Linked DNA regions of Astyanax mexicanus. The protein of the gene in region 2 purifies or fractionates together with the protein of the main gene of each other region. This does not show direct contact. Links are inferred from orthologs where the notes say so. Each region holds a gene or a part of one and is shown on either strand. Other genes may lie near its edges.

What was found. The genes of interacting proteins can lie anywhere in the genome.
Region 1: the proteins of rnf139 (region 2) and insig1 purify together in Homo sapiens (affinity purification with western blotting, with the first as the bait; 3 studies listed by BioGRID). This does not show direct contact. The link is inferred for Astyanax mexicanus from reciprocal best matches to the Homo sapiens genes RNF139 and INSIG1.

Annotation. Positions count from the first base shown.
Region 1 is NC_064415.1:58,135,240-58,138,992, reverse strand, and holds the start of insig1 (insulin-induced gene 1 protein), read left to right. Parts: upstream 1-932; 5' UTR 933-1,156; intron 1,157-2,001; 5' UTR 2,002-2,007; coding exon 2,008-2,329; intron 2,330-3,652; coding exon 3,653-3,753. UniProt on the Homo sapiens protein: Oxysterol-binding protein that mediates feedback control of cholesterol synthesis by controlling both endoplasmic reticulum to Golgi transport of SCAP and degradation of HMGCR.
Region 2 is NC_064409.1:74,244,709-74,248,461, reverse strand, and holds the start of rnf139 (E3 ubiquitin-protein ligase RNF139), read right to left. Parts: upstream 2,579-3,753; 5' UTR 2,413-2,578; coding exon 2,250-2,412; intron 1-2,249. Other genes in the region: deoxyribonuclease TATDN1, read right to left, coding at 3,432-3,534, 3,748-3,753. UniProt on the Homo sapiens protein: E3-ubiquitin ligase; acts as a negative regulator of cell proliferation through mechanisms involving G2/M arrest and cell death.

The DNA of each region.
Region 1 (3,753 bases), on a different chromosome or scaffold from region 2:
AGTAAATGGGAGATGTGAAAGTGATTCAGTTGCTTGATTGGATCTGATAACACAGTGATTCACTCAGTAAACATCATTGCACTGTATTGTTCATGCAGTAGTCAAAGTGTTAAAGCAATGCATTAATAAAATGTATTTGACAACTAAGCTGTCTAAACAGTGAATTTAATTATTATTTAATGTAAAAACCATATGCATATATCCACATAATAATCTCATAGTAGTTTACCCTTAAATAAACCAGTCTACAAAAACAGTACCAGAAACAGCGTTTAATTCTAAAAAAAAGTGTTAAACTGAATTGGTGCATGAAAACAAAAATAAATATGTTACAATGGATTACAATGGATATTACGTATTTTGTGATTATTATTTCTAAATGTTTTGTTGCACATAACACTGTTTGAGAGCTGTTGTCCATCAGAATAGTTTATAAACCAATTAAACAGTATATTTTTACTGTTTAAGGATGGTTTATAAAATAAACACACACAGGCTTTCAATGCTTTCGAAATTATTAAATATTTTATTTAATTTGATTTATTTGCTATATAGATTTTATAGTAGATATTAGAGTCTTCTTTTCTGCTCACTACAGACAGAAAACAGCATTCTTAAATTTTTTGTTCATCACTGGAGATAATCCAGGTCTGAAAAGGTTCATTTAAGCGCAGATAAATTAAATAAAGACGTTTAAAATATAAAATATAGGGCCTTCCACTTTGTATATGAATCAATTGCTTGAATGAATCAATTGAGTCGGTTCATTAACCCGAACCCACTCTCCTCATCATCGCTCCATAAACGCGCTAGTGGCCCCGCCCACTTCACGCTAAGCCCCTCCTCTCCTCCACGTCACATTGGGTGGTGTGTGGCCACGTCATATCGGCCGCCGCGCTGTGATTGGTCGGTTCGGCTCACCAGACACCACGGCGCTTCGTTTTTCTTTGCAGGGCGCGTGAGGAGCTGAGAACGGGAACAGGCTTGGGAGGAAATGAGCTTTTACTTTTAGTTTTATTTCATTAAAACAACGCCTCAGTTAGAAAGTTAAAGTATGTAACCAGAAACAAACAGTAGAAAAGAGTCTGCAAATATAGGGTTTATTTTTTTCGACATTTAAAAAGAAGATCAGGAGTGAAACCGAGAAGAAATCGAGGTAAGTTTTAAAAATTATCAGCAGATTCTTTATAGAGAAACTATGGCTCATCATTTTCTGCTCACTAAAAATAACAGATGTGTTATGACTAAAGCTTCTTCTTTTTTTCTCGCTATTACCTTATATTTTGATTAGCATTATTAATCCCAAACTATTATCTTCAAATCCTCAGTTTCCTCTTCTTTTTTAACCTTATTTTGGTGAATAAAAACATCAGTAGTTGTTTAACCTCATGTTGTTGTGGTCCTAACTGGCTAAAGCTTTAATAGTTAAACGTTATTTTTCTAATTTTTCCTTTTTTTCATTGTCATTAAATCTCCACTTTCCCCGATTATACCTCATAGTATGGTCAATATAACGTTAACTAGTTTTCTCATAATTTTCATATTTTATATTTATTTATGTTAGCCATATAATCTACACCTCCCTCAGTTTTAAGTTACATCCTGTTTTGGGAGTTATCTAGTTAACCTAAGCATTAGAAGCTGATATCTCATTTTTTAAGATTTATGTTTATACTTATATAATATTTTGATCAACACATCACTAAGAGGTCTCCTTTTACGTTGAGTTTATTAAGTGTTTGGCATGTTTAAAGCTTGTGTTATTTTTCTCTCTTTAAGTCATCTGTACTTTGTGGTCTGTTATTATACTTCTTATTGTGTCTTTTCTCATTTCCACTTTGCATTTTGGTCATTAAAACTTTACATCACTATTTTTTATTTTATGTTTTGCCTTGAAAGCTTAAGTTTTCTCATTTTTACTTTGTATTCTGGTCATTAAAGCTTTTGTTCACAGATGTTTTAAATGTTATTTAACATGTATCTCCCTCTTTCTCTCGGTAGAGCCCCATGCCTAAGCTGGAGGACCGCTGCTGGAGCTGCTCTTGTTCCCCCGGTATGAAGTCGGAAGGGTTCCCGCTGGCCTCCAGGGCCCGGGAGGTGATGTCCGGGGTGGCCGGGTCTGTGAGCGAGGCTTTCGCCTCTGTCCGCCGGCTCCACTCCACCAACCTGGTCCGCCGCGGTCTGGTTCTGTTCACCGTCGGCGTTTTCCTCGCTCTGGTGCTTTACCTGCTGCAGATACGGAAAAACGTCGTGCTGTTTCCAGAAGAAGCTCTGGACACGTTATATTCCTCCTCGTGGTGGATCCCTCTGGGGTGCGGAACCGCAGCCGGTGAGTGAGAGACTGAGCTGGAGTTTATTCTATTGTTTTAAAAATTCCACCTTAAAAAGCAGCTGGTACGTTGTGTCGGGTGGGTGGAATACGTGGAGAATGTATGGGGTGAATAGGCTTTTTAAGGTGGAACGGATAGTTTGTATAGGAAGCTGTTATTGTTATTGTGTTGTATATTGAGTTGTAGAACATTAACCCACAACGTTTCTTTAGTATTTAACATTTTAGTTTAATCAGTTATTAAGCATGAATATACACATAAATGGCTAAAAATACCTTAACTTACACAAGTACCTTAAAAATTAGCCGGAGGCTAGCTTGCTTGCTAGCTCAGGTGTTTTGTTTTAAAGCCAATCAAGGCGTAAATTACTTAATTGACATCGTTAATTGACATCGTCACCCACTAATTAGTGTTAAATTAGTATAAAAATGCTTGTATGTAAAGTATAGCGTTCTACAGTGTGTTAATGTATCTCTACGCACATGTAAAGATGCTGCTTTAGGACAGCTCAGTTTGTTTTCCGACTCGCGTTCGGCAGCTGCTCTGCTCGCGTCGCTTAGCAACAGCCGGTGGGAGGAGCCAGCGCGGGTCAGTCTAGGTGTGCTGCGTTCTGATTCGCTCCTGTAGAACGGGTGAGCTGCCAGGTCGCCACGCGATTGGCCGGCGCGCTAAACATGCCACTCATCAAAGCAGAAATCTAACGTTGGCGTCACCAGGCAACGCCCGCCCGCCGCATTCCACGCATACGCAGATCTGGCGGGAAATCCAGTTCCAAAACAAAATTTTTGACTTGTCTTTTTATTTCATATTATATAATAAAGAATTGATTTATAAATCAAGCATTTATATTGGATCTGTTGTAGGTGAAGACATACATGTAAGTGAATGATAATACTTTAATTAATTAATTAATGATTTATTATTTTTAATCTTGTGTATACACTACGGCTGCACCTCAAATGGCTCCCTACTCCCTGTGTAGTGAACAATGCAGAAAACGACAGATTTGACTTGTTTAAAAGAGTTTATTAAATACAGCCATGTTTAATCATGCACCTACACAAACACACACACACTTTTCAGTAATATAATTTGTTATAATAGTACTGGAGTACAAATATCATTAAATTAGTCACTAAATTATAACCAAGCTAGGCAGAGTGTCAAATGACTCCATGCACCCTCCCTAGTGCACCATACTTAAAATAGTACACTAAATGTGATGTAAATACTCTGTCTACTGTTCTATATGGTTCTAATGGGTATATTCACTGTACGTCATTTGTATGGGGGTCTAACACCTTCTGTTTCTGTTTCCTCAGCTGTGGTTGGCTTGTTATACCCGTGCCTGGACAGCCACCTCGGTGAGCCTCACAAGTTCAAGAGGGAGTGGGCCAGCGTCATGCGATGCATCGCCGTGTTT
Region 2 (3,753 bases):
ACTCTGAAGCTACATGAAGTTTGGAGGTGTGTAGTGAGTGATGAACTCTGAAGCTACATGAAGTTTGGAGGTGTGTAGTGATGAACTCTGAAGCTACATGAAGTTTGGGGGTGTGTAGTGAGTGATGAACTCTGAAGCTACATGAAGTTTGGAGGTGTGTAGTGATGATGAACTCTGAAGCTACATGAAGTTTGGGGGTGTGTAGTGATGATGAACTCTGAAGCTACATGAAGTTTGACTTGTTGCACCATCCTATTACTGTACCACAATGCTGGAGTTAACTGAGCTCCTGAGTGCCTGAGATCCATTCTTTCACTTATGTTTGTAGAAGCAGTCTGCATGACTATATGCTGCTTTCATTAATCACCTGTGGACCTGTGGAAGTACTTGGAACCTGGACTGAATTATTTGCTATGGAGAGTGAATACTTTTGGCAATACAGTGTATATTGTTCTATAATGATAAACTGTTACACACCAAATTAAACGGACTTGTCTAGTTGGCAAACCAAGGGTGCTTTCACATCTACTGGAGCTGTAGACTTATCAGTTTGGTCTGACATAGATTCATGATTCATATTCTACAACAAATTAGGTGTGAAATATAGGAAGATACAGCCCACCAGTTCTTTAGTCTTTTCAATAAACTGCAGTTTGAACCGAAAACTAACCAGACTAAAATGTATTAAACACCAAACATACAGCTCTGGAATAAAATGAAACCACTAGGTGTGGGTATTGTCACTGATTTCCCAGTTCGATTAGACCCGATTCAAAATGTATTAATTTGGTTAATTTCGGTTACAATAAAAATTGTAGTTTAAATATAAAATGTTGTAACTATACAAGGAACACTCAAACTTACATTATTAAAATAATAGTGTTTATATTATATAGACTTAACAGTTACATTCTTCTTTTAATATCGTTTAATGTAACTTAGTTAATTGCTACACTGTGTTTCACATCTCTATACAGGTTTGGAATGGCCACTTAAGAGCAAACAGCTGGTCTGAAGTTCATGCTCAGGTCAAGGAGGTGAAAAAAGGTCAGGTGGTTTGCTTTTGCTGTTTTTGCAGCTATAGCTGCACAGCTGCACCAAGAGATGTGTGGGTACGAGAGAGAAGCATGCATGCATGAATGCAAAAAACGCATAAATTTTGATTTGACCGTTCACATTCATGACGCATATGCCAGAAGTGCATCTGATTTAGGACCACATATGAAAGTGACTCAAACCTGATTTGGGGGAAAAAAAATCTGATTTGGCTTGCTCAAACAGCTACAAAAAAAAAAAAAAAAAAAAAAAAAGATCTGAGCCACACTGAGAAAAAAATCTTATTTAAGTCACTTCAGCCTGGTAATGTGAACATAGCCACTGTTAATGTTGGATAAAAACATACTTTTCTTGGAACGTCATGGGCTACAAAATAAAAGTAATTTTGCAGCAGGTCTATTGGAATTTGCAGAACATGTCAAAAGCATTATTTTATTGTGCTTTACACTGACATCAGGAACTCCAACAGAGGTAACTGCATTTTTGTTCATATTTTTCACCCCTAGTTTGCTTGCATATGTTCCTGTGAATTACTTTTAGGTGGTATTTTGGTTTAGAACATTACTCACTGTATACCAACTCTACCTCTTCACAACTTTACAACTGATGATCTCAAACCTTAACATTAAGGTAGTTTAAAGGCAATACATTCAAGTAATTAACTTTTGATGAGTTCAGCACAGCTGTTGACTAAAAAACTTAAAAATCCAGGTGACTCTTCCTCATAAACCTGACTGAGGAAATGTTTACTAAATAATTCAATGTGTGTTTTAATGTTTGGTATCTATATATATATTCCCACATTGGTGCACAAACACCTGTCCACAATACAATGAATGGCCTCTATTATATCTGGGGTTAGCTATAGGTTATCTAACTGAGCTGAGCTGAGCTGAACAGGGTTAAAGGGGGCAGGCTAAAGGCTAGGGCCTCTCTCTCTGCGCTGCCTGTCAAACTCAAACCCACTAAAACACCCAACGAGCCCCCGCTGTGACTCCAGCCTGTCCGCCGGAGCTCTGACAGCCTAACCAGACCCCAAGAACCGGAGCTCTGGCAGCTAAACCGGCTTTACCCGGTAGCAGGTAGGCCCTGCGCTCCTCTGCCCCGCGGAGCCTCGCTGTCCGCTCCGCCCTGCCGGAGGAACCCGCAGCAGCCGACGGTATGTAATCAGCGGGGTGTCCGCCTGAGCTTACCCAGCACTCGGCCTAGAACACGGCCCGCGGTCCCGGCCCAGCCCGCTCCCGGGTCGTGGTAAGAGTTAAAAATGGCGTCGATAATAAAGATACACGGCACCCGCAGCGCCACCTCCAGCACCGCCAGGGCCTGCTGACCGATCCGGCCGCCGGTGGAGGCCATGTCCGCGGTGTGGCCGCCGGGTACAGCCGCTCCTGCCCCGGCAGGGTCTCGCGCTCTCTCTCCGCGCCGCTGTTGTTAAGTCGGACAGCCACCGGCCGCCATCTCCGCTCCCTCCGCGCTCTGTTGCTATGCGAAGAACGCGGAAGCGCGCGACGTCACAGCGTATCCAGCGACGAACGCAGCCGAGCCGAGCTGACGGAGCCAAACGGAAACACACGAAGATACACGGAAACACACGAAGATAAACGAGAATAAACGAAAATAAGTAACAACCAAACGGAAAAACACGAAGATACACAGAAACACACGAAGATGAACGAGAATCAACGAAAATAAGTAACAACCAAAAGGAAAAACACGAAGATGAACGAAAAGGAACGACGCCAAACGGAAATACACGAAGATAAACGAAACCAAAAGGAAATACACGAAGATAAACGAAACCAAAAGGAAATACACGAAGATAAACGAGAATAAACGAAATGGTATGAAAACACACAAAGTAAAGAGAGCCAAACAAAAAATATATATTAAAAAGCACAAAAATAAACAAAGCCAAACGAAAATATACGAATAAATGCAGCCAAATGGAAATACACAAAACATACAAATACACGAAAATAAACGGAGCCACACGAAAGTATATGGAGGAAACGAAACCTAATGAAAAGATGCGGAAAATATACAAAAATCAATTAAACAAACTTAAAATATGAATCTAAAATATATTTTAAAAAATCTTAAACAAATCAAATTAATGGTTAACATTGACATCTTTCTAAAATTATCGCCCAACTCATTTTTCAAGTTTTACTTTGTTAAATAAAGGTAAAAAATAAATTAAACAAATCAAATAATGATTTATTAGCAAAATTACACTATATACACAACTTGATTGATTTCAGTAGAAATGCTAAATATATAAAAAAGACAAGACAGTGTTTTCTTCACTTATTTATTAAAATATGTTCCATTTTATACTGTTATAGAGTCACACTAGATCCAGTCTTTCTGTAATATCAGCTTCCAGTGAAGAACACTTTCAGTGTGTTCTGATAGATTGTGTTGGCCATCTCCACAGGGTCCTCGTTCCTCACCGCTGCCATCACCTCCAGCACTTGTCTGAAAAAGATGAGTAGTGGTTTAAAAATATGCATCTTATTAATAAGTGTGTTTGTACCACTTATACATTTAGAATAAACCCAAATAAACAAAGTTAGTGATCAGTAAAATTGATTAGACAAACTAGCCAGTGGATCGAAACTGAAATGATTGGCTTTCAGTCTGACGGTGGTTCTATTTGTTCAGATGTCGTAATGTTGCTCTTTGACCTACATGATA